Nothobranchius furzeri: one gene and its partners. The protein of the gene in region 1 binds, or shares a complex with, the protein of each later gene. Links are inferred from orthologs where the notes say so. Each region holds a gene or a part of one and is shown on either strand. Other genes may lie near its edges. The genes, in order: snw1, snip1, sf3b2, snrpg, rbm48, rbmx2 and snrpe.

What was found.
Region 2: snw1 (region 1) and snip1 share a complex: the UniProt entries of both Homo sapiens proteins name them as parts of the SNARP complex. The link is inferred for Nothobranchius furzeri from reciprocal best matches to the Homo sapiens genes SNW1 and SNIP1.
Region 3: snw1 (region 1) and sf3b2 share a complex: the UniProt entries of both Homo sapiens proteins name them as parts of the minor spliceosome. The link is inferred for Nothobranchius furzeri from reciprocal best matches to the Homo sapiens genes SNW1 and SF3B2.
Region 4: snw1 (region 1) and snrpg share a complex: the UniProt entries of both Homo sapiens proteins name them as parts of the minor spliceosome. The link is inferred for Nothobranchius furzeri from reciprocal best matches to the Homo sapiens genes SNW1 and SNRPG.
Region 5: snw1 (region 1) and rbm48 share a complex: the UniProt entries of both Homo sapiens proteins name them as parts of the minor spliceosome. The link is inferred for Nothobranchius furzeri from reciprocal best matches to the Homo sapiens genes SNW1 and RBM48.
Region 6: snw1 (region 1) and rbmx2 share a complex: the UniProt entries of both Homo sapiens proteins name them as parts of the minor spliceosome. The link is inferred for Nothobranchius furzeri from reciprocal best matches to the Homo sapiens genes SNW1 and RBMX2.
Region 7: snw1 (region 1) and snrpe share a complex: the UniProt entries of both Homo sapiens proteins name them as parts of the minor spliceosome. The link is inferred for Nothobranchius furzeri from reciprocal best matches to the Homo sapiens genes SNW1 and SNRPE.

What each region holds. Positions count from the first base shown.
Region 1 is NC_091742.1:20,646,474-20,650,539, reverse strand, and holds the start of snw1 (SNW domain-containing protein 1), read right to left. Parts: upstream 2,801-4,066; 5' UTR 2,698-2,800; coding exon 2,651-2,697; intron 1,063-2,650; coding exon 909-1,062; intron 800-908; coding exon 638-799; intron 1-637. UniProt on the Homo sapiens protein: Involved in pre-mRNA splicing as component of the spliceosome. As a component of the minor spliceosome, involved in the splicing of U12-type introns in pre-mRNAs.
Region 2 is NC_091745.1:70,706,952-70,710,942, reverse strand, and holds snip1 (smad nuclear-interacting protein 1), read right to left. Parts: upstream 2,801-3,991; 5' UTR 2,658-2,800; coding exon 2,497-2,657; intron 1,855-2,496; coding exon 1,725-1,854; intron 1,651-1,724; coding exon 1,115-1,650; intron 1,030-1,114; coding exon 777-1,029; 3' UTR 298-776; downstream 1-297. Other genes in the region: dnali1 (axonemal dynein light intermediate polypeptide 1), read left to right, coding at 3,037-3,114. UniProt on the Homo sapiens protein: Required for pre-mRNA splicing as component of the spliceosome. As a component of the minor spliceosome, involved in the splicing of U12-type introns in pre-mRNAs. Down-regulates NF-kappa-B signaling by competing with RELA for CREBBP/EP300 binding.
Region 3 is NC_091742.1:75,387,253-75,390,752, forward strand, and holds part of sf3b2 (splicing factor 3B subunit 2), read right to left. Parts: intron 3,384-3,500; coding exon 3,292-3,383; intron 3,199-3,291; coding exon 2,977-3,198; intron 2,897-2,976; coding exon 2,771-2,896; intron 2,696-2,770; coding exon 2,615-2,695; intron 2,542-2,614; coding exon 2,314-2,541; intron 2,244-2,313; coding exon 2,094-2,243; intron 2,028-2,093; coding exon 1,938-2,027; intron 1,787-1,937; coding exon 1,679-1,786; intron 1,592-1,678; coding exon 1,484-1,591; intron 1,065-1,483; coding exon 922-1,064; intron 767-921; coding exon 665-766; intron 1-664. UniProt on the Homo sapiens protein: Component of the 17S U2 SnRNP complex of the spliceosome, a large ribonucleoprotein complex that removes introns from transcribed pre-mRNAs.
Region 4 is NC_091755.1:44,512,153-44,516,195, reverse strand, and holds the start of snrpg (small nuclear ribonucleoprotein G), read right to left. Parts: upstream 2,801-4,043; 5' UTR 2,680-2,800; coding exon 2,648-2,679; intron 2,472-2,647; coding exon 2,449-2,471; intron 1-2,448. UniProt on the Homo sapiens protein: Plays a role in pre-mRNA splicing as a core component of the spliceosomal U1, U2, U4 and U5 small nuclear ribonucleoproteins (snRNPs), the building blocks of the spliceosome.
Region 5 is NC_091759.1:22,195,766-22,200,009, reverse strand, and holds rbm48 (RNA-binding protein 48), read right to left. Parts: upstream 2,801-4,244; 5' UTR 2,786-2,800; coding exon 2,657-2,785; intron 2,506-2,656; coding exon 2,315-2,505; intron 2,244-2,314; coding exon 2,098-2,243; intron 2,014-2,097; coding exon 1,484-2,013; intron 1,389-1,483; coding exon 1,326-1,388; 3' UTR 403-1,325; downstream 1-402. Other genes in the region: peroxisomal ATPase PEX1, read left to right, coding at 3,223-3,330. UniProt on the Homo sapiens protein: As a component of the minor spliceosome, involved in the splicing of U12-type introns in pre-mRNAs.
Region 6 is NC_091750.1:26,772,697-26,776,951, reverse strand, and holds rbmx2 (RNA-binding motif protein, X-linked 2), read left to right. Parts: upstream 1-1,455; 5' UTR 1,456-1,561; coding exon 1,562-1,566; intron 1,567-2,772; coding exon 2,773-2,888; intron 2,889-3,069; coding exon 3,070-3,121; intron 3,122-3,204; coding exon 3,205-3,334; intron 3,335-3,462; coding exon 3,463-3,649; intron 3,650-3,723; coding exon 3,724-4,094; 3' UTR 4,095-4,173; downstream 4,174-4,255. Other genes in the region: ap4m1 (AP-4 complex subunit mu-1), read right to left, coding at 1-55, 160-266, 498-583, 657-718. UniProt on the Homo sapiens protein: Involved in pre-mRNA splicing as component of the activated spliceosome. As a component of the minor spliceosome, involved in the splicing of U12-type introns in pre-mRNAs.
Region 7 is NC_091743.1:2,209,500-2,213,462, reverse strand, and holds the start of snrpe (small nuclear ribonucleoprotein E), read right to left. Parts: upstream 2,801-3,963; 5' UTR 2,661-2,800; coding exon 2,607-2,660; intron 805-2,606; coding exon 778-804; intron 701-777; coding exon 638-700; intron 1-637. UniProt on the Homo sapiens protein: Plays a role in pre-mRNA splicing as a core component of the spliceosomal U1, U2, U4 and U5 small nuclear ribonucleoproteins (snRNPs), the building blocks of the spliceosome.

The DNA of each region.
Region 1 (4,066 bases):
ATTTCTTCATCAGATGGTGAATATTTCTCTCCAGAATCGGAGTCAGCCATTATCAGACAAAGAGCTTTGTCAACAATGAGCAGACCTGTCAGCATCGCAAGTCTCTCCACTCTAACATAAAATAATAGATCTAATAGATTTGACCTCTGTGAGCTCCGCTCCTCACCTCCGTACGAAGGGCAGTGTTTAAACTCTATAAACTCTGAAAACATCAGTAGAAACACCCAAAAGTGTTGCTCAGATTACAGTTACACATCTCCACTATCTGCCGGTGTAAAGTAATAACTTCACCAGGAATTACATTTGCAGCCGTGGTTCATTAAATGCAATATTACATAATGCACAGTCCTTCCCATGCTATGGTTCTAAATATTGACATCATTTATTTCAGTGTTGTGGTTTTTGGCCTTGGTTTCAGCCAAGAATTTTCCTTTCAGTGCATCTCTACTGTTTGGCTTCAAAAATGACAATTTTCACCCTAAAGCAACAAGATTGCAGGTATGTAATAAAAACTTCTAATAAGACATAAGCCAACTTAATTGTGAAAAGTTTAATCATTATCAGGTTTATGGGATTTGTCTGAATCCACTTAACTACAAATAAACACATCAAAAAAGGCAATGATAACCAAACATACCTTGTCCTTTCCCTGTCCTTGTCTGGCGATGGCATCATATTTGATTTTTCCTTCAGCATCCACTTGCACAGCCAGGGCATTGGACGTTCTCTTCCCCCTGCCCATCTCCAGAGGAAACTGAGCCACATGGATTTCTGGGAATGCCCCCCCATCTCCAAAGTCCTGGAAAAATAGATACACCCAACTTTAAAACCACACCAAGATTTTTTTTAGTGTGGCTATGAAGCCAAAAGCTCTGTTCCATTTCTAAAGCCTTAATGGTGGGAACTACCTCCAATGCGCGGGGTACCCAGCCTTTCCTGTGTCCATAAGGAGGGGGCTCTCTACGGGACGCAACCAGAGCGGTGGAGTAAGCCTTTTGGGCGCATAGCCTCTCCTCTGCCTCCAGCTGGTCCTGAGACAGCTGTGTTGGCGCTGGTAAAAAGCTTCATGAACAAAGAAGAACAAATTAAAAAGTGTTAAGTGAACTAGTATTAGCCACTAATGACAATAAATATAAACACAAAGGGGAATAATTGAGCTATTTGGACACAGGAGCCGATTTGGTCATGTTTATGCTTTACCAGAAGTTAACACTGACACATTTGATGTACTGTAATCTTATTGTGATACTGAGAGACTACATACTAGTAATGCCAATAATAACAATTTGGACTTTCGACAGGGCCACTCCAAACATCGTTCTATCCTTTGTCTGATTGCTGGTGATGCTTGATGCCACTGCCACCATGCAAGGGGAATATTTATAAATCATCTTTATTATGCTGTATATTTTTATTAATTGCTTTTACTTTAAAGAAGCAAGTTTCTTCCTTGTTGTCAAAATGTGTTTTTAATTTGACAATTCATGTCAGACAAGTCAAATAATACTGAATGTGAATTAGCTTCAGCAATAAACATGTGAAATATCAAAGACTGAGTAAATATTTATAACAGGATGAACGGAGAAGTATTTGACGCCGACAACAGCAGCACGCTCTGAGGAAGGAGACAGCATTAGCCGAAACTTCAGCAAAAACAGGGTATAACAACTCTTGCCGTGTTTGAAAAAGAACCAAGTAAAGTTGTTAGGAAGAAGAGAAAAACAGAATAAACATACATAAGATATTTATAACAGGACTGATCTAAGCACTATGACAGAATCCCAGAAGGGTATTGGTGATTGGGCACATCATGCAATCATGTATTATGCGATTTTCTAAAATAAAATAATAATAAAAAATCCCATTCTAGCACTTTCAACAAGAATTCATAGCATTTTGTTGCACCTTACAGATAATTATCATGAATATCTTTTTTCCCCACTTATCTCAAAGTAATTGTTACTAGCCTGCAACAAATGTCACATGCAGTTTAAAGCAATTCAAGTGCTTAAATAAAGTGTGTGCACATTTTAGCACATGAGAATAGCTCTCCCGTGAAGAGTTCTCCCAGGAAGCATGAAGAAGTCAGTATTTTAGAAGTGAATCGCCTTATTTTTCCTTTGCACAGTCAGAACATTCTTTCAATCTCATTCATTAACCAGGATGCGTTTCCCCGGCTGAAAAGACCAAAGACGAAATTTAAATTCTGCACAGTTTGATTTCAGCCTTTTAATTTATTTTATTTTATCGTTTTACACAACAGATGCAAGCAGGAAGGGGGAAGAACACGGGGAAACATCAATGCTCGTCTAGCCCAGGGCTTCAATATAAATAGTAGTATCATGAATTTAAATGACTGAATATTACAATTTGGTCAAATGAAAGCCATAATTAAGATGAAATTGACCGAAAAACTAACTTGCTCAGCGACAACGACTGCGTGTTGCAAGATGGCTAATGCTACATGTTTAGCCGACGAGCTAAACGATAGCCTCGGCTACTGCCGCTAGCTTCGATTAAACCAATTAAAATTAAATCGTGAACTTCGGCGATAAAGCCTGAATATGTAATTTTCCTAAACGTTATTATGAGTCCCAGTCAATAGCTCTTTAAATAGCATAAACAGACAAGGCCTTGTCAACGAACTTACCTAGTAAGCGACATGTTTAAGTTTTTCTTTTTGGATAAACTGAGCATGCGCACAGCGGCATTACATCACTTCCTGATCGTGCGACTGCTCCTTACGTAGACCATAGAAATGAATACGTAGACGCCCCATTGTGCGATGGAGAGCTTTGCCGCCATATTGGATGGGTCTCCTCACTCTCCGAGGTCAATGCCGAGTGGGCCGGTGTCAGTACAGGATCTGCTCGGGTGCAAGATCGGCTCGGGGTCCGTCGACTGCCGATGACGTCTAAGTAGTTGATTGGCTGAACATGAACCTTACGGAAATACGCAATCACGTTACGTTGTTATCACGTTACGTTGGTCCAGGCAAATCTTTCCATTGGAAAGATGGACAACTTTTACAAAGAAATCCATCATTACCTCTTTGAAAATACACTTTTAGCATAGAGCTGCATGTATATTAGGGCTGAACGATTAACTGCATGTGCAATTAAATTGCGATGTGACAAAAGGAGATTTTCTAATCTCAAAGGCTTCAATTTGGCAGCGAGTGGTTAGCGTAATGCTAATATACATGGAAAAACCCATAGGAATGCTAATGCTAATATCGCCGATTACATTATTACAAATTATGAATTAGAAACGTGCCAAATGATTACATTTGGAGTCTTAAAGAAAGTAAAAATACCATCAATCAAATAAGTACAGACAGGTATTTTAGTAAAGCCAGGAGATTTTCTAATCTCAAAGGCTGCAATTTGGCAGCGAGTGGTTAGCGCAATGCTAATATACATGGAAAAACCCATAGGAATGCTAATGCTAATATCGCCGATTACATTATTGCAAATTATGAATTACAAACGTGCCAAATGATTACATTTGGAGTCTAATAGAAAGTAAAAATACCATCAATCAAATAAGTACAGACAGGTTTTTTAGTAAAGCCAGAAAACTTTTAACTCCAGAGTTTTGGCTAGCAGCTACAGTCTATGACAAGACGTCAACAACTCTAAACACAAAATACTTAAATAAACGGGACACACTTCTTTCCTGCAAATACAATTTTACAGGTGTTGCTAATACCTATGATTCTTCAAGCCAAGGGATGTGCTCAAAGAGGAGTTCAACATTATGAATAAGATATATAAGAAATAGTGTTTTATTTTACAAATACCATTATAAACACAAACTTATGTCTTAAGAAACATTATTTTAATAACGAAAGTGCTAAATTCTTTCCAACAGTATAGATGTGTAGTGCATTTTGTCCGAGTCGGTTTGCCGTACTTTGACGTCATCGGGAGTCGAAGGACCCCGAGCCGATCTTGCACCCGAGCAGATACTGTACCGACACCGGTGTCGGTACATCTGCTCGGGTGCAGGATCGGCTCGGGGTCCTTCGACTAGCGATGGCGTCAAAGTAGATTCGCTGAACATG
Region 2 (3,991 bases), on another chromosome or scaffold:
ACATAAATGTGGAGCAGAGGTTTTAACCAAAAGATGGAGATATAATTATGGTTTTGGGCTGAAGTATCAAATTTTAAGTAAGACGCACTAAACTGCTAACCTAGTGAACTAGACCAAATTCTTGCTTTGCAAAGTAAATAATACATTTATTTAGTCTGGCTTGCCAGGCTACTAAACTGCCACATTAATGATTACACGTGTGTACAGCCCCATTAGACACTCATCTGTGCAAGTTATCAGCACAAAAAAAAATAGTTAATTTAGGCGTTACTTGCTCTTTAATAACAATCACAGAGATTTTTTTTAATAATCTATATTTTAATTTACAGTAGAAAAATGAACTCTTACTATCAATACACCTGAACTGACAAAATCAAACAGGGAAGTTTTTGTATAAATGATGCAGAAACACATAGCATCAAGTATTTCCCCTCCACTACAAAAAAAAGCAAAAAATAAAAATACAATTATTATATTCTGTGTATTTATGTTCATTAAGTCAATAAGAAATGCTTTCCTAAACATAAGGTTGGTTTTCCAATGATGTACCCTGACATAACACATGAGATCAGCCATGCATTAATCCTGAGAAAGGAGGTCTACTTGGAGACAGGTGTGGCAGGTTTAAGCAAGAGTTCAATATTTACACAATATACATAACAATCCAACCACGTGGTGTGAATTCCCACGCACAAGATACATCGCTCCACTTTCTAACATTCTCATTGGTCTTATCCATCATAAATGAATTTAGGCACAAACACATTGGGAGTAATTTACTCAAGACCCTCGTCTTCTTCTTCTTCCTGCTTTGCATCAACTTCGCTCGTGTCGGAGAATTCGTGCAATAGGACGTATTCGCGGCTGCTAAAGCCAAACTTGAGAACGTCTTTTTCTTTGAGCTCGTAGTAGCGCTGAGACTCGATCCGCTGGTTGTTCAGGTAGGTACCGTTGCCAGAAGCGAGGTCGATGATATAAGGCCTTACCCTGCGGCCAGTGGTGCCGTCTTTTCGAGTGTACTCCACTAACCTGCAGAATAAACAGAATCCTTAGTTGTATATTTTCCCCACAAATCTAATTAATCACACAGTGAAAACATTTACATACAACATACCTGTATTGGAATACTGCATGTTGCTTGGAGCAGGATGGGTGGTCGATGGGGATATCAGCGATCTTTCTTTGCCGCCCCAACAAATAGGCACTCTGTCTGTGAATGTACATGACAGGAAGGGGTTCATCATTCTTGAAAGGGTACAATCGCCACCTGCGCTTTGGAATTCGAGCTTCCTGTGGCTCGTTGTACTTGATCACCACCCCACGGAACGTGTTGGTGTCCTCTGTGAGAGCCCCTGACAATTCAAAGTTGGGCTTCTCTTTATCAGCAGGCGGTGCCCCCGAGTCGCTGCCGTCTCCCTCAGCTTGTCCAAACTCCTGTTCTTGATTTTCTTCACGCCGCCGCCGATTTTCCCTACGCCGCTCATCGTGCTGCCGCCGCTCAGCTTGCTGAGTCACTTGGGAGTTTCGCTCACGATGCCTCTCTCCATCCCGGTCCCCGGACCTGTTATGTTCCCACCTGCTTCGTCTTTCATCTGGCTGCTCGTTCCTCCTCCTCCGCTCATCGCCGCTAGATCTATGCTCATCACGCTCCTAAAACAAAAACACAAAACCTTCATGACTACAAGTTGAGACAAGTCAGTTTCAGTTTAGAATTTTATAATCACCCTCTTTATTCTAGAGTCACTGCTACAATGAGGGCTGTGATTTCTCTTGTTTCTGGGAGATCTGCTGTTTCGTCTAACAGGAGAGGTCTCCCTTCTGCCTGGTGAGCGGTCTCTTGTCCTCACGGGTGACCTGTGTGAGGAGCACAAAAGAGAAAACACTCTTAAGCCACTCGTATCAGTTAGGCAGCATTTACAAACTAAAATAGTAATAAAGTCATCTTTCAGTGTTAGAGATTGTAAGAGATCAGGTGTGGGAATTAAACAAGATTAATCAATACTTTGACTTTGCATTAAATATCCAAAATGTGTGTAGAGGATCTAAGATGTTAGTTTTTGATACCAATTAATAAAGTTTTGATTAGCTAAAACGCATGTTTTAGCTAATTGCCATTGGATTTTAGAATATTACTACACATTATAAGAAATTTAAATAAATGTAGCTATATAAACTATATATTTAGATGCTTTTGATTGTTTCTTGATTTGTACTCATTCGAGTAAGACAGGAGCTTGGTTAATAATCTAACTGACGTACTATAGGCACTTGAAGCTGAACGTGATATAGTTGTAAATACACGTGTTAATAACAATCTACTTACTGTGATATAAAGAAATAACGTAAATTATCTGAACTTTTTTTTTCTAAAAAGCATTTCCTTTGAAGATGTGTCAACTTAAGTCACATTTAAATTCAGTTATTAGAAAATAAAGAACATCAGATCTGAATATTATCACCTTGGTGGTGCTCAAAGGGCGACAAACGCGTGTTTACCTGCTGGTTCTTCTCCTCTGTGGACTGGAGTTGTCTGTGGATCTCGACCTCGAGCGGCGTGATTTCTGCGGCCTACTCGGACTCAATTTCTCCTGTTTTACTTTCACTTCCGGCTCTCGCGTGGGAGAATCTCTTCTCTTGTGTCGCTTCTCTTTGGCCATTTTTGAACAAAATCCGTCAACTTTTTGTGGCTACGCAAGCATAGTTAGCCACAGAAGCAAACAAACGCAAAACCCACCAAACGGTTGCTAAAGTTGCGTTCCGTTTCCGTTTGGCGCGCTGACAATTTCTTCCGACGTGGTATATGTGCTTTCAACTAAACGTTCCGCTATGATGACTTCCGTTCCGTTTAAAGATAACACGGATTAAATCATGAAAACTACAGATATTTTTATGAAGCCGTAAATTCAACTCCAAGTGGATTTGAGCTATTTTTCTTTTTTAAATTGCGCTTAGATCTTTTTTTTTCTGTTTTCCGGCAAACGCCCGAACGTTACCATGACAACATAAACAGCTATTTCTGTACATAAAGGCGTCAGGATGATTGAATTAGACGATTCTCTCTTGAAATATGACGATCCCGTTTTGGTTAAGAGGACAGCCTCAAGCTCAACCAAAGTAAGTCGGACAAACCCTAAAGGTGTGGATTGAAGGGGTACCATTAACGGAAGTTGTTGGAAGAAACACAGAGCAAAGAGATCCAGACTTTTTGTGCCCTACATTTTATTTATTTATTTCTACTCTGTACGGAAAAGGGAATAGAGCCACTGACAAGGGAAAAAACAACAACTGCTGCCCATCTCACAAACCAGAGCGGAAAAAAGCACATCGGCTTAAATTATACAGATGGGAAATAACGCCAGTTAATTACTTAAGTGTTGTTTGTGTGCTTGTTGTTCAGTAGCTAATGCTATAATTAATATAATCTGGCTTTTTTCATAAACCCCACACACTGTGCGTGATGCGCTTTTGGCAAGGCCGGATTATAATATGGGCAAACTGGGCACAGGCCCAGGGGCCCACAGCCACAAGGGGGCCCACGCAAGCAGCAGTCTTTTTTTTTGTGTGTGTGCAGCAGTCTCACTCGCCCCCACTGTCCCACAGATTGACAACATTTTTGTTAGTACAGACAGAAGAGAAGACAGGAGTGCTGTGAGGAAGAGAGACAGAAAAAGAGGAGAAAAGAGAGAGGACAGAGGAAGAAAGACACATGAGTGAGGCACAACAGGAAAATCATCAGGCATGAGTGTTAAGGGCTCAACACACGGGAGGCGACATCACCTCTCCTCCATTCATTTTCAATGAGACATGCGCGACAAAGCGATAATCGGGGGTCTCTCTCCTACTAAGCGAAACGCGAAAAACGTGCGTGTGAAATTTTGCACTCGTGCACGTGTCGTGCACGGACGACCCAGCGACGCGATCCCAGAAAGTTGAAACATTTTCAACTTTTCATCGCTGTCGCTCAGACGAGGACCAATCAACGGAGGTTTCA
Region 3 (3,500 bases), about 55 Mb from region 1:
CATTTTACTGGCAGCATGCACTGATCAGTGACATCACTCACTGCCAAAATGGTCCTGACGTCTTAGCAAAGTCCCGAAAAGGTTGATTTAAGAAGTAAGAAGACAACGACGGAGGAGAATAGGCCAGCGCACCTTCCCCATCACCCTCATTCGGACGCATCGTTACCGGCCCATCCCATCCCAGAGTTCATGCACGGGAGATTCTGGTCCTTGCGACGATGGCGGGCGAAGCAGGAGAGGATGGAAGCATTTTAACCTCTTGTGGTACAAAAACTAAAAACTTCAGTGGTCTTGTCAGGATTTGTTTGTTTGAATGTCTGATTTTCAAATATATTTTCATCAAAAACGATGAGAAAACCCCTCGTGAAAGAGCCGATATGGTGAGGCCGCGTATTTCTTTATGTGTTCAGAAGTTTAGATTTAGCTTCTGTTTGGCACCGTGGAAGTTGCTAGGCGACAGGATCAGAAGGTTTACATCAACAGCCGTTCTCTTCTAGTCTCAGTGGATGAGGAACGACCTGACCCGTGTGGGCAGGTCCTAACGAGGACGCTGTCCCTGAATATGGACACATCCTTTGTCTCCCTGCTGAGAACCCTGATGCATCGACCAGTAAAAACGATGAACTAAAGGGGATGGAGGCAGCAGAAAAGCTGCTACACTCACCCGTCCATGGCCTCCTCGATCTTCTTCTTCCTCAGCTCAATCAGCTCAGGCGTCTCCGTGCCGATGGGCACCGACGAGAAGCCTCCAGGTGTGATCAGCCCACTGAGGAACAAAAGGAAAGATTTGTTTCATCTCCTACCCGTCTGGGAGAGGGTGATGCTGACAGGACACAGACCCACTACACCCACACAAGAGATCAGGTAAATCTAACCCAGTCTAACCAGTCACACAACTGTGTTCTTTAACAGCATTCAGACCTGTCAGCTGGTGTGAAGAATCCAGTTTCATCTGGCTTCTCTTCATCGCTCTCCTCCTCCTCTTCCTCCTCTGATGACTCCTCATCTGAAGGCTCCAGCTCTCCCCACGGCGTGCGGTCCACCTCCTCCTCCTCTGCTTTAGCCTGGGGACACACACACATACGCACACACACGCGCGCAAACAAAAACACACTTTTACACAGCTAGAAAAAAAAAATGAAATAAAATAACAGAATCAATGATAAACATGATTTTCTTTCTTGTAAATTTGGGCTCTAAAAGCTGAAAATAATAAACAAAGTGCTTTAGAGAGCATCACATCAACCAGACTGGCTTTGATCTCACTGTTCCAGCTTGATTTTTATATTAAACTCTAAAACATGAACTCTATTCCTAATCTGTCAACAAAAACGTAATAAAAATGACCACCAGCTAGACTCCGCCAGGCTGTGATAGCATCAGAGTTTGAAGGAATCAATAAAGTCTGATGATGTCAGCAGGCCCTGGTTTTCATTTAGCACCTTTTTTTATATTTTGTGTGTAAAGCTGTTTTATTTCTGACCTGGAAGTCAGCGGAGTTGGTCCCAAACACGTCGCCGTAAAGCGGTTTGCCCATCTCGTCCACCGGCGGCTTGCCCCAGCCTCCGGCGTGATAACCAAACGTACAGTTCTGGTGATCAGGAACACACCCGGAAGCAGGAAGTTAGTAGGAAGCATGACACAAACACAACCAGAGGAGACCACGATGAACTCTTACATCTGGGATGGGCGAGTTGAGTCCAGGGATCTTGAGGTTGGGGTAGGAGGGAGGGGGGCCGTACCTCTGCATGGCTATCAGCCAGGGGGGGGGCACCTTGTGGGCGTTCTGATGGACAAGAAACAACACAAAAATGCTGAGTCATGAAACCATTTTAACACCTCGTTACGAGTAGCCTCCACTGAGCGTGCTACTATCCATGTTACCATGGTGATGCAAACAGAAGCATCACACATGTTAACAGAAGAGGACAGCTTACCGGTCCCACGGGCATCCCCAGAGCGATCCGCAGCTCATCAGAGAGATCTCCTGGTTTCTTCTCTTTCAGACGCGTTTCAAACTCTTTACCCTAAAAACAAAAACACGCCATGAGATGATTTTTAAGTGAGGAGCAGCCAGAGGAGTGGTCCCATACCTCGTAGTAGAGGTCTCCATGGATGGTGAGCTTGGGCTTGATCTGCCACTTGAAGAACGCGTCGTGGAGCTTCTGGTAGTCGATGTCGATCTTTCCCATCTTGGGACGAACCTTCTCTCTCATTTTGGTTTTCATGGTTTTGGCGTCCTCCTGCAAGCAGAACAGCTCCCATCAGTGACCACTAGAGGGCGAGGGAGGCAGAGGTCCCGCTGACACCCACCTTCTCCTGCAGAGCCTCCCTCATCTCCTGGATCCCCGTCCTCCTGATGAACTCCGGCAGCTGGAACGGGGGCTTCTCTATGCCTCGCTTGCCCTGCAGGTACTTGCGTTTGAAGCACCAGTGGCGCGGCACAGGGACCGTGTTCCTGGTGGCCTTCAGGTGCACCAGCAGCTTGGGCTCCTGAGCCGTCACGTCGTGCATCTCCACCACATCGGGTCGGGCCACCAGCTGGACGTAGGAACATTTGTGACTAAAGACTCTGATACCAACTACAACATCAACTAGAAGGAAGCTGCTCTACCTGTTTGAGCTCAGCCACTGTCAGCCTGTTCATCCTCCTCAGCTTCTTCTTGGACAGTTTAGGAACATCCTGTTTGACTTCCTGTGAGGTTTTTGGACGTTAAAGGGGCACAACATGTTTTTACCCACCAGAAAGCTCAAATGACCGAGTTCGTACCTCATCGCTGTCATCACTGTCTCTCCTCTCCAACTCAAATCCTTTCTTTCGCAGAACGCCTAAAACTTCCTGCTTTTCCGCCTTCTCCGGCTCCTTCTCCTTCTCTTTTTTCACATCATCAGTCAGCTAGGAACGAGGAAGGACAGGAAAGTGTTATCACAACAACACAGAGACACACCTGAACCTGTGCTGCTGATTAAAATCACCTTAAAAGCCTCAAAAATCCTCTTGAAGAAGATAAAGTTCGGGTCGTAGATCTCCGGCTCATCTGTGACGTACTCGATCTCCACCTCTGGCTCCTTCCCTTTCTCTTTCTCCTTCTCCTTCTCACCACCTCCCTTCTTCTGCTGCTGCTCAGCTTGTTCCTTCTTCTCCTGAGCTCGCTTCTTCTTGCTCTTCTTTTTGCGGTTCCTCCTCTTGCGGTTTTTCTGAGAGAGAAAAAAAATTGCTTGTTCAACTCAAAACGGGATCAAACTTGGTCACTACTAGGTGCTCCTGAGCTTTGTGCAGATGGGACTTACATCTTTTTTAGACATCAGACCATCTTCGTCGTTCTCAGACATCAGCGCTGAGGAATTGGTGGCATCCATGTCCCTCCCATCATCGTCGTCGTCTGTAGAGGGGAGAGTCAGTGAAGCAAAGAGCTAGAAACAGAGTAAACATCGGTGTGGCCGACGCTCGTCTGAGGGAGCTAAAGGAGGCTACAAAATCACAAACTGATGATGACCTG
Region 4 (4,043 bases), on another chromosome or scaffold:
ACGATCTAAGTGAGACATCCTCATCTTAATCTGCTCCGGTAGGTAAATAACATGTTTAAGATAACGTTAGCTCGATATGTTAGCTTCCGTTTCGCTAATGGTGTGTTCGCTTTCTCCTCGGAACTTCGAATTTCCGACTGGAATAACATGAACGCGCTCTAAAGTTTGGCTTCACTTTACTAAATGCGACGGGTGATTGGGTGAAGATGAAACCAGCGACAACGATCTAAGTGTGAGGCATCATCGTTTTAATCTGCTCCAGCAGCTAAATAAACTGTTTAAGATAACGTTAGCTTGGTATGTTAGCTTCCATTGCCACCGTTGTTATCAGCTAATGGTGCGTTCGCTTTCTCCTCGGAACTTCGAATTTCCGACTGGAATAACATGAACGCGCTCTAAAGTTTGGCTTCACTTTACTAAATGCGACGGGTGATTGGGTGAAGATGAAACCAGCGACAACGATCTAAGTGTGAGGCATCATCGTTTTAATCTGCTCCAGCAGCTAAATAAACTGTTAAAGATAACGTTAGCTTGGTATGTTAGCTTCCATTGCTACTATTGTTATCAGCTAATGGTGCGTTCGCTTTCTCCTCGGAAATTCTAACTTCCCAGTAGGAAAAATCAAATGAAAAAGACGGCAAAAGGAATGAAGATACACAGTAAATTTAGTTCACAGTAAAGACGTTTGCTTCAGTTTAATTATCAGCTTATAAAACTACAAGGACCATGTTAAAATACAAACAGTTGTATGTTTTTTATCGTGATATTTATCAAATATGGTTATATATTGAGAAAAATATATATTTAATTATAAAAGAGAATTAAAATAATAAACACTCAAAAGTATCTAAAATTGATACCGTTAAGTACCGGTATCGATTCCTAGGTACCGGGAATTAGTACCGGATCGATTCAAATGTCAAAGGTACCCATCCCTAAGTCTGACTGAGCGCTTCCAGGAGAAATTATGAAAACAATAACGCGTGTTTGGAGCATCGGTTTAGAGGAGCGTCCTGCGATCCTCTCGTGTGAGTAGACAGTCTCTCTCTCTGATCGAGCGGAGCGCGCCACATGACAACCCGCTCAATTAACATAATTCACGGCCCAAATCCAACAGAACCGGTCGGGCTGATTTGGTTCCGGCTCAGGTTACAACTCTAGCGCTCAGCAATGCAGTACCACATCAAGGCGGAACCACGTGGTAAATGTGGAGGACGCTCACTCTGACAGATGCTGGTGCCGCCGTTAAAAAAACAAAACTACATTCCACTATAATCGATTACGGCGTACTCTTCTACGATTTATGTCCGCATCCCGATGCATCGATTATTTTCCTCAGCTCTAATTTGAATGCAGGAAAAACCCTGCACAATCTTCACAGAACCCCTGCAAACCAAGCTATTTACCCCAATTATGCAGCTAAATAAACAAAAGTAAATACAAACATTTAAAATCTAACCAAACATTAGCTGACATGCCTAAAAAATGATTTTACACCAACAGAATGATCTCTTAAAAGTTATCAAAGAAATATATTTATTATTGCGCATGTGTATACTCACAATTGCCTATCCCTAGACTCACTCTGTCAGTGTTTGAGGCAAGCAAACGACCGGATGCAGTCTAACTTCCTCCAGTTTAACAAAGACGAGACTGAAGTTATCGTCTTTGGGAATCAGAAGGTTAGGATGGACGTTACTGCTCAGCTCGGCTCCAGAGGAACGAAGACAAGGCAGCTTTATGTCTCGAGCACGTTTCAAACACAGAGGCAATCCTATGTGCTTTACAGTCACCAGGACATGATAAAACACTAACTACAACACACACAGATAGAATTACAGTTTAGAGCTAAAGGACAAAGACTCATAACTGATTCAGACCTGAGCTGCACCGGGTCAGAACCAAGCAGGGTGATGCTGCACACAGATGAAATCAGCTTCCCCGCGAGCTCAGATGTGCCCCATCTCTGGTCTCTTTATTCATCTTCCTGTCAGTCGTTGCTCCTCGTGCTGCACCTTCTGCTCTGGTGTTCCCAACCCTTCTCAGCCTTTTGATTTGACTTAGATGGATTTTAAATCTGCTGGTTTTTGTCAGACTTGCTTCATAGACCCAGACCAGGCTGAGCACCACGGAGGACAATGCCCTCCACCCTCTAACCTTTAACCCTACCCTGAGAGTTTAAGCACACCCCAACCTACAAGCGGCTTTTAAGAAGGACTGAAAACGTTTCTCTCTAGTAGATCTTTTATAGTAAAGCTTTTCATCTTTCATAATCAACATTTTCCTTTCCTCTAAACGCGTTGAGATTGTCGTGATGTAAAGCGCAACACAAATGCAATCGATTATTATTCCGTCACGTGGTTTTAATGTTTTAGCACCTTAAAACTATAAACTCTTCATAATCACAATAGGGGCTTTAAAGACATATTCGTAAAACGCCATACTCACATGAAAGCTTTTTATCCATGAATCTGAAACATAAAACAACATTTCAGGCGACGGTGGTTCACAGTTCAGGCAGGGTTGCTAATGTTAGCCTCATGGTAAAGAATGGAGCAAAGCTAACAGGCTAACACGTTCTTTCCGTTAAAATCGTGGAAACAAAATTAATAATTTCTAATTGTTATTTTTAAACACGTGAACTTACTTCTTCAGCTCTGGCGGGTGTGCTTTGCTCATTCTGTATCGTTTTTTGTACCGAAGTCCGGTGAGCTAGCTCGTCGGGGTTACGTTGAACAAAACCGCGGAAGGAAAATGTGACCGGAAGTGAAGCAGTTAGCGTTTACAGTCCCACTACGCCCCCTCGAGGCGGGGAGGAGAACGTGTTAGGGTTGGATCTGCAAATATCTGCAAGAACACTTTGTTTCAAACAACTTTTACAATTTTATTGTCAATCTTACAAAAAAGCAAAAGTAAACGTAAGTATTACATATTATACTGAAATGTATTTGAAATGTAAAACGATGTTAATAAGTGCATATTTTATGTTCCTTCTACCTTATTGTTTGTATTCAGTTGACCATTTATTTTGCTGTTGAACGACAGAGATGCATTGTGCTGCCTGATTTTTACCTGTCAGACCGGAGTCCCTAGCTCCCAGCAGTGTCAGCTCAACTTCGTTCTCTTCTTTTCCAGGATGGAAATCTGTTGTGCAGTTTGTATAATTTACACAATTTAACCTAATCTTTAAAGTTATTCTTTCATTTCTGTAAATTCTCATCAAGTTAAAAAGTATAGTTAAAATTAAGCAGATTCAACAGATAACAGGAAGAAGAGCTATTTTTGACAAAGTAAAAAACAACAAATAAAATTCAGTGAAACCAAGTTTGACTATGAAAACTCATGGAAGCCCACAACCAATATCTAAGAACACAATAAAACCAGATTGTGATTTCAAGAAGGCAACTGTAGAAGTCAAGTCCATTACTCGAACTCCTGAGGCTGCTAGACCGGGACCTGGTTGACGCTCTGTGTTGATCCGATGTTGACTAAATTACTTGAACAGCCTTAAGCGTGGAGTTGTTATGATAATGCTTCTTGTTTAATGTTGATTGCATTCCAGGATGTAACAATGATAGGAGTAATCCGATTACTTTCCCATTCAAACGTCTTCATGCCACAGCGGTCAAAAACCTGTTTGCCCTTCCGGAATAGTGCCTGACGCCAACAATGACATCACTACCTTTATTCCGACCAGTAACAATGACATCACTACCTTTATTCTGACCAGTAACAATGACATCACTACCTTTATTCTGACCAGTAACAATGACATCACTACCTTTATTCTGACCAGTAACAATGTGATAGAGTGGGAACTCTGGAAGTTATTTGCTGATCTGACAGTATCTTCAAGATAAGGGCTCCGGTCAGAGAGCAGGGCACGGAGAGACAGTTTTACGTATTTAATGACAGTTGAAGTATGGACATCTGTACATTTCTGTGGTTCCGTGTGGTCTGGAAAATAAATACAAAGAATGATGTAAAAGGATTGTACAAATGGTGAAGTAAATATGCCAACGTTTAAGACTAAGCAAAAACAA
Region 5 (4,244 bases), on another chromosome or scaffold:
GTTTTTGTAAAAGTCTATTTTGGGCTGTTATTTTTCTTTAATTAGTACTGTTCTAATGTTTTTGTGACCATTTTATTTGTTTGGTGGTAAATTTGCACCCATGTGAAGGATTTCAAGATTTTCCTAATATGCAGAAAGTTTTAGCAGTTAAAATATTGACAGTGTGAGATAAAATAACATGCTCAGGGTTTCCTCTACGATTTTGATAAACCGTGGTGGAGAGACGTGCGGAGACGGTCGCTCTGAGACACGAGCAGTATGCTTTTCGATGAACATTCCTGCAGGTGTGTGTAAAACATCCATCCATCCATTGTCTGAACCCGCTTTGTCCATGTAGGGTCGCGGGGGTGGGGGGTTGGGGGCTGGTGCCACCCTGAACAGAGAGCCAGTCCATCGCAGGTGTGTAAATCAGCTTATTGTTTAATTACAATTAAATAAAAAAAATGTAAAAATATATTTACCTTGAAATAATTTGTATTGCTTGATTCCCACCTTGATTACAGCCATGGGCGGAACTTGATTTCTGTCCATTTTGGGTCCCAGCCAGATTCTCTGTGCTGACTTTTTTCTTCCCTCTTACCGCTTCCCTGCTGCTCTCTCCCTCATCATGCTCACTTATGCATGCTGGTCCTTGTTCTGCCTCTCCACTTGTCTCTCCTTCGCTCACCTCCTGATGGTTGGCGCGCACCAGAGCGGTGTCCTGAGCATGGCGACAGTAACATTCTCAGTGTCTCCACGTATAACACACGATTGTTTATGTCGACTCGTGTCCTTTTTATGCTTCCTGTCTTTTATTTGTGCCCGATGCGTTTTGCTGCTGCGGAGCGAAGCGCATCACCTGTTTTGTCCTCAGGTGACTTCACCACACCGGTGCGCCCTCGCTAATTTAGCGGTCGGTAGATCTTTTTGAACTGCAGTTTAAAGTTTTGTTGCAATAAAATTTATTTTAAACTGTGACTATGGTTAGTACACATGCACAAATATAGACTATATATGTCTCGTTATTGTTTTAATGTATATCCAAAAAAAATGTTTCTGAAGGTACGTTGTTTGAAGTTTTTTTTTTGTTTACTTCTGAAGGTGTGGCAGCTTTTATTTTTCCGTAGTGGCGCGCCACGGCAACATGCACATAGGAAACACAGTATTAGTATTTCTTTAGCTTTCTAAATGTAAATTTGTGCACTCTTTACATAATAGCTGTTTTTTTTAACCTTTTTTATACAGGTTGGTATCATAGCATACAACAGCCGATGAGATAAACAGTTTTCCGAAGCAGTGGGAGCGTCGGTTTTCTTCCAAGACTCCCATCTAGACACCTGTCCAGATCATATCCGACGACGTGGTTTTGTCTTTTTCTCAACAGCTTTGAAACCCGGAGCAGATCCCACCTGAAAAAAAAAAAAAAAAGATTCACATGTTTTAATCCTTCATTAAGGCTGATTTACTTTTTATGAAATTATTAAAGTACTGAATCAACAATGACCTGTTTCATTGTGTTCCTGATCAGGCTGGCAGTTGTGTTCAACGAGTCATCATTCATGTCCAGTTTAGGTGGTTCTGGTAATTTCGGTCCAATCAGGGTCTCGGTTCCTCCAGAAACACTTGCCGACTGCTCGGGAGCCTCTTCCATTCTGCGTTTCCTGATCTCCAAGTGCGAGGACCTTGGGAGAAACCTGAATGCTGAAGCCTGATCTGAGGTCAGTCTGTGTTCTGTGTCGTGGTCTCTCTCTGAGGCTTGGTTAACGCTTAACTTTTCCACTTGGGGCTGTTTCAAGTTTATGATGGCATCATGTAAAGTTCCCATTTTGTCCTCCTGTGCGCTGATCCCATGTGGACTGTTATGTCCAAAGGGATGCTGCTCCCATGGAGGTAATGGGAGAGGAGGGAATTCTGCATGTTGGCTGTGGTTTGAAGCATCCTCTGCACATTCTTTTTTAGAGGTTTGATCGTGTCTGACGTTTATGTCTGATGCAGTCGTCGATGATGCGGAGCCTTCGCTGTGCGCCGCTTTTGCTTTGTAAGAGAAGATTTGTTTTAAAGCATTGAAAAGCAACATTTAAAGGTCAGAACTAAATCAAACATGATGTTAAACGATACCTCTGCTCCGAGCTGCTCTCATAACATAACCCCTCCGGTCCTGTAGCTTTAGCCTGGTGTCTTCTACAGTCTCATACTCTGGGACGTAACACACATGCAGCACACCGCCGTAGAAGCTTTTCTCATCCATGTTGCGTTTGGCTGCTCTGAAACAGAAACATTCGATAACGATTAAGCAGGTATTTCCAGTAAAGTATGAGGAGCGAATAAATCGTACCTGGCGCTGGTTAGCTTCTGGAACTTGATGAGGTAGACTTCTGTAAACTCCTCAGCCGGATACTCGTCCAGAGGTCTGTACTCCTCCACAACACCATACAGGGCACACAGCTGGACCAGCTCCGTCATCACACCGATAGCTGGGACTCCCAGTACCATCAGGAAACGGGACTCTAGGTTAATGGTGTACACCTGGAAATTCACAAGACTAAAGTTACATTTCCTGCGTTCAGTGCAGTATTAGAATGATGTTACCAATTAAGCTAAAGCAAATCTTGTGTGTCTTCTTTACAGAATTTATGAACATTTTAGCTGAAATTAATAACTTCTAAGATTGTCTCACCTTAACCGCTTTAGCTCTTCTTCCTTCTCGATACTTTGGTCGAGAAATGCAAACTTTCTGCTGTTCGTGATGTTTGTGAACGTCAGGAACTTTCCAACAACCGGAGCTGTTGTTTACAGGGACCGCCATGCTTATTCTAAATGCTGTTCCGGTTTAACACTTTCAAAATAAATGCTTTTAGTTCAGTGAATGCGTCTGCACTTCCGGTTTAACACTTTCAAAATAAACGCTTTTAGTTCAGTGAATGCGTCTGCGCTTCCGGTTTAACACTTTCAAAATAAATGCTTTTAGTTCAGTGAATGCGTCTGCACTTCCGGTTTAACACTTTCAAAATAAACGCTTTTAGTTCAGTGAATGCGTCTGCGCTTCCGGTTTAACACTTTCAAAATAAATGCTTACAGTTCAGTGAATACCGTCGCGCTGCCTGTTAGAATACTCTTTTATTTTGAAAGCAAAAGATCAACTACTTTTGCCTGGTGAGGAGTCCATCGTCCACAGAGCACATCGATAAATCCAATTGCTCTCTCTGCCTGGTGTATGCTAAGCTAGCTAGCAATGCGAAAATTATGTTTAGCAACCAGGGAATTCAAGCCGTTCGTGTCGTTTTTAACAACACAAAAAACTGCTTTCTTCACCTCCCTTCCAAGTTGGTAGCGCATCTTTCCTTGAACGAGGTAGGTTAGCTAACTAATTTCATGTTGATTTACTGCTTTTTAGATCATTTCTGTACGTTAAGACTTAGTTTTAATGTATAATGTCTGTGCTAGCATAAACAGATGACAGTTTTTAAACGACTAGCCGGGTTGTCTTATGCTCAGATGAAAGTACTTTTGTTTGAGATTTTATAAACATGCAAAGCAAACAGTTACCTAATCAACGACAGCTGCTGGTTTTTAGGATTTTCAGGTGAATTGCTTCCTTGACATCTATGTTTGCCTTATTTTACTGCATTAGAGACTTAGAGAGACACACTTAGACTACTGTAACTCTCTTTTCACGTGTCTGAGCAGAACCTCCCTGAACCGTCTACAGGTGGTTCAGAACGCCTGTGCTCGGCTTCTGACCAAGTCCTCCAAACGCACCCACATCACCCCGCTTCTCCTCCAGCTTCACTGGCTGCCAGTCAACTTCAGGGTTCATTTCAAGATCCTGGTTCTGGTCTATAGAGCCTTACATGGACAAGCACCATCTTACATTGGTGATCTTCTTAGTCCCTACACCCCCAGCAGGTCCCTGAGGTCCAGTGATCAAAGCCAACTGGTTGTGCAGCACCAGGCTAAAGGTCAAAGGTGACAGATCATTTGCTGGTGTGGCCCCCAGACTGTGGACCTCTCTCCCCCTGAGCCTGAGATCAGTGGACTCAGTGGTCTCCTTTAAAAAGCAGCTGAAAAGTCACCTGTTCAGGCTTTGGTGGGACCTTCACCACCCTCTCCTTGTTCTGCTCTTTGCACTTATTCCACATTTCCGTGATCCACTGATTTCCCGCTTCCCTATTCATTTTCTCTCTCCCTTTCCTTGCATCGTTTGCATTAAAACACACACACACACACACACTGCAGCCATGGTCCTTTAACACATAAAATGCTTA
Region 6 (4,255 bases), on another chromosome or scaffold:
CTGGATGGACTTCTCAGAGAGTCTGCCACAGTAATCCCTGACCAGCGCCATCAGCCTGAAACATGGACCGGTTCTGTTCAGTCAAGATGTTTATCAGCTGACATCTAGGTGACCAGCAGGCAGCTCCATCTGAAGGTTCTGTTTAGAACCAGAACAAACCTGTTGAGGAACTCGATGATGGTGAACGGTGAGGAGTCGGCTGTCGTCGTGGCGACCCAGTAAAGGCCTTCATGTCTGACATGTACAAAGTGCAGGTCTCTGTCGCTCTGCGGGACACAGAATCAGGTTTGTTTTACTTTTGACTCTCGAATCATCTGCATGGTTTCAGTCCAGTTCCTCAGACAGTAAACAGACGCCGAAACATCGTTGCTTCATCCTGATGTGACTTCTAATCTAGTGGTTCTGGTTTGACCTACTCTTCGTGTTTGGGTCAAATCAGAACTCAAAACAACACAACAGTTTGGGTCTAAATGTGTCCCAGACTGTGGAGGCGTTACCGTGACGACCAGAGGTTGGTCTCCAGTCAGCGCTGTGACCTTCTCATAGAAGATGTTGACCACATCGTTTCCTCTTTGGCCTCGGTCTGATTGTTGGCTTGGGTTAAGCTCTAACTCCTGATAGGGTAAAGTCTCACGGGACTGGAAGCAAAAGGATACAGTCCTTGTAGATGAGATGGTCCCCCTTGGAGGACAGGATGAAGACCTGAGAGATCATCCTCCTGAAAGGAAGATCACAAGCACAAGATTAATGATAATGATAACTAATATTTATATGGAATATCACACCTTATTGATCATTTAATAAAAGTGACCACTTCCGTCACGTTACAACATGTTTATCAGAGTTGGAATAAAGCCAAATCCTATCTAATTTATTGTATTATAAGTGTTAACAGCACTGTTGTGTACTGGTGAGAACCTGCAGATAAAACTACAGAAGTTCCGCTAACGGAAAGGTGGATCTGTGAGGGGTTACAGCTGCTGTACTCGCCTGCGGAAGGTGTGGGGTCTACCTGGAAGAACCAGATCTTACTGCGGCTATTTTTAACAGAACTTCAAAGGAAATGAAAGCACGGCTGGTGCTGCTTTGGCTAGCAGTAAGCTATAGATAAACTTTAATAACTCACAGGGCCGCAGTTTTCAGAAACGCTGAATACAACCAGATAAGCTCATTGTCTGCAGGGTTACAAAGCTAACCTGACAGAAAGGTTTTGGGTTTATATTCAGGTTATAGCTACGGTTTACGACACGGCTCCGTTAGCATGTAGCCCCACAGCGCTCCCTTGTGGACAGGAGGTTGAATGAGGATTGCATTAATAACTTTATATTTATTAACTTCACGATGAGTGAACTCATAGCTACGTAAGAAATTGCTTCAGATACATCAACCTAGATGGTTTGGGTGTGTTATATAAACCCGAGAGAAATAATCTGCACATGTTTAATGATCGCTTGTAGTTTAGATCTCCAAACTGCAGAGGGCAGCAGAGACGAACCAAACGGAAGTGGTCTACCTCAACAAATAAAACGTCTGATCTGTGCCCTAATTTCTGTAACTAACTATGAAGTAAGTACATTTATGTATTCATAAATGACACGAACCACCGACACAACACTGTTCTACTTCTTGTCGTGTAGTTAAAGTAAAAAGAGCGAGTTCGTTATTCTGCGGTTTGATGACTGATCCTGGTGCAGCATGCTAGCTGTTAGCTAGCTCCTACTCGTAGCCGATCGGATTCTGCTCAAAAAACAGATAATTTAACATTTTTTCCTTAAAAACCAGAGAGAGCATGTAATAAAACATAAACACCCAGTTGTGTTTGGGATGTAGCATGTATCTTTGATGCTTCAAGAAGACATTTGATCATGTGTAGGTTGGCTATTGTTTTGTTTACACCCCTGACCTTCTACTACGTGTTTTATTCTAGACCAGTGTGTCTGATAAAGTTGACTAATAATTTATGTCAACTGCTGATGAAGACAGGACCACAAGCTTGGTCATATGTGGTGTTATCTTTTTCTCATGAATGTTTCTACGTCTGCTGCAAAAAAAAAGATCATTCGACTAATAAAACACACCACTCCGATCGTATTTACCCCGGAAGTCAAAGGGGACACATTTACATGTATATCCAGCCATTGTCTGAACCCGCATATCCTCACAGGGTTCTGGGGGGCTGGTGCCTATCTCCAGCAGTCTCTGGGCATGCAGGCGGGGTACATCCTGGATGGGTTGCCAGTCCATCGTCCATCGTAGGGCAGCCCAGAGGCACACAGGACAAACAACCATGCACAGCCACCTAAGGATGATTTAGGCAGACCAATCAACCTGACAGTCGTGTTTTTGGACTGTGGGAGGAAGCCGGAGTACCCGGAGAGAACCCACGCATGCACAGGGAGAACATGCAAGCTCTATGCAGAAAGACGGGCTGGGATGTAAACCCAGGACCTCCTTGCTGCAAGGCAACAGCCCTCAGAATTAAAATGTCAAATTTAAATCAAGCCAACAAGTGAAACGGAGCAGCTCGACCAGGAACACCGTGGTCCTGCTGGAGGAACAGGATTATGCCTGCTGCTGCTGAAGGGTCATTAGGGTCAGGCTCAAGGTTGGGGTTGAATAGAAAAGCTCGACTCTTTTTCTCTGTAGTCCAAACAAAAAGCAGTTTTTCTTTCTAAATTGTCCTGACAGCTTTTCACAATAAAACTCCAATTGAGTCAGAATCAGGTCCAGTCCCTAACGGGACGATTTACTGAGCAACTTGTGTGTTTTCAGTCCTCTAACGAAGGTGAAGCTGATTAACGAGCTGAATGAGCGCGAGGCTGACCTCGGCATCAGCGAGACCGTCTCCTGGCACACAGAGTACCGGGACAGTGCCTGGATCTTCATCGGTGAGAACTCCTCAAACCCAGCCCTTCACACGTGGAGACGTTGGGATGAGTTTGGTGTTTTGGGCTTTTGGAGACGATTTGCTTCTGTTCATTAACAACATAAAAAGGGATCTCATGAATGAAACTGTTGAAGTGGGTTTGTTTGGTTCTGATGATGCTTACGAGGTCTCGTTTCCTGCAGGAGGGTTCCCCTTCGAGCTGACTGAAGGAGACCTGATCTGTGTCTTCTCCCAGTACGTACATGCTTACGTCTCACCTGCTTTACGTTATAGCTGACATGACAGTGACGTTTGTCTCCTCTCGACAAACCTGCCAGGTACGGAGAGATCGTCAACATCAACCTGGTGAGAGACAAGAAGACGGGGAAGTCTAAAGGGTTCTGCTTCATCTGCTATGAGGACCAGAGGAGCACCATCCTGGCAGTGGACAACTTCAATGGCATAAAGGTGACTTCCTGTCCTCACCAGGTCCTGGTGTGGACCCAGCGCCGCTCCTTGCTGGCCCACAGCGGCATCAACATGGTCTCTGATGAGACAATTAGCTAAAATCTTTTTGTTGTTGTTTAAACGTTCAGATTAAAGGTCGAACTATCCGCGTGGATCACGTTAAAAATTATCGTCCTCCCAAAGACAACGAGGACATGGACGATGTGACCAAACATCTCAGAGAAGAGGGCTGTGCTCCCAAAGGTCCTACTGTTGTCCCCTCTTCCTCTGAGGAAGAAGAGCAGTGCGTCGTACCTGCGAAGAAGCCCAAAAAAGGTGAGGTCACTTCCTGTTACCTGAAAGTCACCTGATCTAGGACCAGGTGGACTTATTTCCCTTTTCTGTCTCAGATAAGAAAGAGAAGAAGAAGAAAAAAAAGAAAGAGAAGAGGAAGAAGAGCAGAGCTCCCTCTTCATCACCTTCTCCTCCTCCTGCAGTCTTCAGACTGAAAGAGGAGAAGCAAGACGCCGCCTACGACAAGTACAACCACAAGGAGGTGCCTGCAGGGCAGAGGACGAGGGACACGGAGAGAGGAAAGGGGACAGACAGGAATGAAGACAAGTGGAGGAACTGTGAGAGAGAGGTGGACAGAGACAAGGACAGAAGAGACGACTATAGGAGACAAGAGATGGACAGAGACAAAAGACGAAGAGAGAGGGAGTGGGACGAAGACAGAAGAAAAGACGGAGACAACAGGAAACGGGAGCCGTATAGAAAATAGACAGGTTGTGATTGGCCGATCCATGGTGTGTGTGTGTGTGTTTTAATGTTTCGTATTAAAATCTGACCTGAACACCTGATACACTTCATGTCTGATGTCCAACACCTGAGGACGGGTGAGACTTTTACAAAGCAACACGTTGGCGAACTCGTGAAGCATTT
Region 7 (3,963 bases), on another chromosome or scaffold:
ATAATAAATGTCCTGAGTGCTGCCGTCTCCTCCTCTGGCCATTATTTCAGCTTTAGCTTAAAGAAAGTTTTGGTTGTAAACAACAAAGTGCGCATGTGCCGCCGGCAACTTCAGCAGATGATACGGTGGCTGGTAAGGGTCACCGCGCCTACACCGCAGCCACGGTAATCCACCGAGATAATATAGTTTTTTTTAAAAACAAGACGGTTATTACTATTGTCAACTTTTTTACCGGGGTTTACCGCTACACCGGTTACCGTGACAACCCTAGCCCTGACACACTTTCATATTCTCATGGTGCAGCTGTGTTCTCCAGAGATCAAGGACTAGGACCCAAATGAGGCTGTAATGCAGCAAAAACGTAAAAGAACCTGCTGAACTTTTCCCGCAGGACAAGTGTAAAGTTTTCATCCTACAACGAACAATACGGCACGGAGGAAGTTCAATATTTAATATGAGTTTTAGAGAAACTCTGGGCCGTGTGAGGTGAGTTTTTAAAGTTAAAAAAATCCTTTCACAGGCCCTGAAAACACTCTGAAAAACAGCCCATCCACGTGGGTATCCAGCAGCAGATAACCTATCAGGCATCCCTGTTGCATATGGAGGTAAGGAAGAATGAAACAAAGCCATTACTTACGATTATGCAGCCCTCTATCCTCATGTTGACCTGCTCATACAGCCACACCTGGATCCGTGAGCGCTGGGGACAGGCAGGGAACAACTTAGAGGTTCTTCATCTAAATAAAACCATTTCAAACTAAAGGGATAGCAACTTACATTTTGAAGGTATCTGAAGATAAGGTTCTGAAGGTAGAGTCAAGGAAAACCAACGCTCAGCAGTAACAGTACACGCACGTCTGTAGCCTACATTTGTACTCAGTTGTAGTGTTACCTTTATTCATTGCCATTAAAAGTAACTTATTACATTTTAAAGTAACAGAGTTACACTCAGCAGCTGCCAACATAAAAATCAGTACATAGGATTTGGTAACCATGTCCTGAAAATAAATGACAGCGGGGCTGGGACTGATGGTCGGACATCTCGGGCCGTGCCTTCATTCAGGTTTCACTTACAGGTTCCACTCCAAACAATCTCAATGTAACCGACCCGGCACAGAGGAGTTCTGCTCGTGTTCGGGCCAATGCCACTGACCGACTCTACTTTAGTTAGACCCAAACAAACATGTTTACACTTATTGTTATTATAAACCACAAAGGCTGAGGAAGACGAGGCTGAAGTTGGCTTCAGATCCGGGAAACCGCTAAAGGGCAATTACGCCCAATTTTTCTCTGACCATCTTTAATCTGCTCTGGCTGGAAAACTACAACACCTGCACTCTTCAAACCTGAACTGGATTATTCTAGACTAATAGCAGATTGCAAAAAACATCATTTGTGATTTGTAAAACCTTTTTCTGATTTGTGAAACTTCAAGAAACCAGATTTTAGCACGTTTTCTGCATCTAGACCACACTGAACAGCCATAGTTTCAAAACAACAATACCTAGACATTTCAAACCTGTACTGGATTATTCTGCACTGGTAGCAGAACAATTAAAATCAACTCTGATATTTGTGAAAGCTTTACTTAAAAGGCCATTTAATACCTTTTTGTGGTCCCTGGTTTCACAGCTCTGTTTCAAATATGACAGATGTTTAATTCAGGCTTTAAAAGTACTTTTCAGTAGAGGAGCCCTTAAGGAGCTCATGTATCTAACAAGGTATACTTAAGATTCATTATCGCGTGTGCACTAGGGGCACTTCGTTAGAAGGATTCAGCTAAACAGCTCACTCTAAATTCTAATAATCTGATAGCTGCTGACTGTATATCTTGTAGAAATTAAATATTAAAATCCAAATTGGTAATGCGACCCGTGTTTCACCCGATAATAAAATGTTAAACATGAGAAATGACCAGAGCCTAACTGTTTACAAAGCCCATTAAGATCAGGATTAAACTGATCAGCTATTAAGTGCTGCAGATAAACAGACTTTAACTTTTCATGTAAAATACCAAAAATAAAATTAAAACTCAGAACTTCACCGTCCAACTTCAATGTTTAGTTCATCCAATTCACATGTGATGAATCATGGACTATTTAAACTATGTTCGAGTAACCTGCCATTAGTCTAGGATATTGCAGTACAGGGCTGAAGAGCGCAGGTGGTGTCGTTTTCGAGCTAGAGCAGATTAAAGGTGGTCAGAGTAGAGAATAATTTGCCCTTTAGCCATTTCCCGAAGAGGTCGGAGGGCAGCTGTACAATGGCGTCCTCAGAACCTTTTCGATTACAACTGCAAAGTCCTACAAAGTACTCTGGATAACCGATGCTTCAGGAGATCAGAAGCTCCCATCACCTCCAGCGGTACAGCTAACCGGAGCCATTAGCATTAGCGGCGCTAGTTTTGCTGCTAAGTTCGCCTCGGGGCCGTTTCTTTTTCTCCGACATGATGCGGAACACGTGCATCATCTCATTAATTTTCATAAACACCAGAATCACACAGTTGGAACGGAATCCGCGCGTTCGTTCAGCGAACTGGGCCACCGGTTAGCCAGGCTGCTAAACACCTAGCTCCACTCACGCGTTCTCCATCATACAAAGGATACGATGGGCTGCACCATGACCTTCTGCACCTTCTGTCCTTGTCCTCTGTACGCCATCTCTCCAGCAAAACACCAACGAAATGTGTTCGGTAAACAAAAACTGCACCTTCTGGACCAAATGCACCTTAACGTTTGACCCGCGTTGAGAGCTAGCTACAATGGCAGGTTTCCGCGCGAGCAGGATCTTTAACCGGTCTGATTAACCGATTTTTAACAAACAGCAACGGAACAGCGCCTCCGCAGGACGGAGGACTCTACTGCAGCAGCCTGTTCGTTTTAGCACACCCTCAGGTGCCAGACATCAGAGCATGGAGGGAAAAAAGCAGGTTTCATTCAAACCCCATCAGACTTCTGACTTCATACCGTACCAATTTATTTATTTCATTTAAAAGCAGCATGGGAGCTGACCAAATGCGCATAACAATACAGTAACAATAAAACTCATAAAAACACCAATAAATCAGCCAATAAAAGCAGATAAAAACTACAATCAAACACACAATAAAAGAGAACTTTAAAAAGTCACAATCTGAAAGCCAAATCATAGAAGAGCGTCTTCAGCCGTGTCTTGGATGATGACTGATGGATAGTGAGTGACAAAGGCTCGCTTCCTCTTCGGGAGTAGCAGGCAGTGAGCAGGCCGCACTGCATCAAAGGTCTCAGAAAAAAGGTCTTGTAGCCTGACTAAACTTTTCCTGAGCTCCTTTTGTCTGCCAGACTTTTTTCTGAGACCTTTAGATCTGATTACGTAGTCAGAAGTCTGATGGGTTTGGGTTTTTTCTCTGTGGTCTGGATGGCTTTTGTGTCCCCAGAGGTGTTGTTCCAGGATTAGATCCGATCACGTGATTGGCTTGTTGAGTTGAGCTCATACCTCCTGGGGGTCAAAACAAAGTTGTATGCGTATATTTTGTAGTGTGTCGTCAGTCTGGGGCTTTTGGCCTCTAGATGGGGCTGTGTCACTTTCCAGATTTTACAGTCCATTTGTAAATATGAGACTTGGTTAATAGATGGACAAAAACAGAGTTAATTCCTCATCTTGATGTGTATAAAGCCCCTCTTTTCCCAGGAAGAAGGCCTTTAAATCCTGAATCTGACCATTGCTGGACAAAGCCGTTCCCCGTGATATTTATAGGTGGTTTTATAAAAAACGGGGTCTGCCATTTCTCTGTTGTGCACAGTAAACCTGTAACATGATGAGCCGAGTCAAGGAACACAGCCTTGAGTAGTTCACAATAGTATTAATAACATGCAACACAGGCTTGTCCCTGCCTCACAGAGGAGAAAGTGGGTTGATAATTAGCAGCCGAGGACAGACAAGTCTCTGCGAGTGGGGGGGAAGGCAAGGACCCTTGGTGGTGCA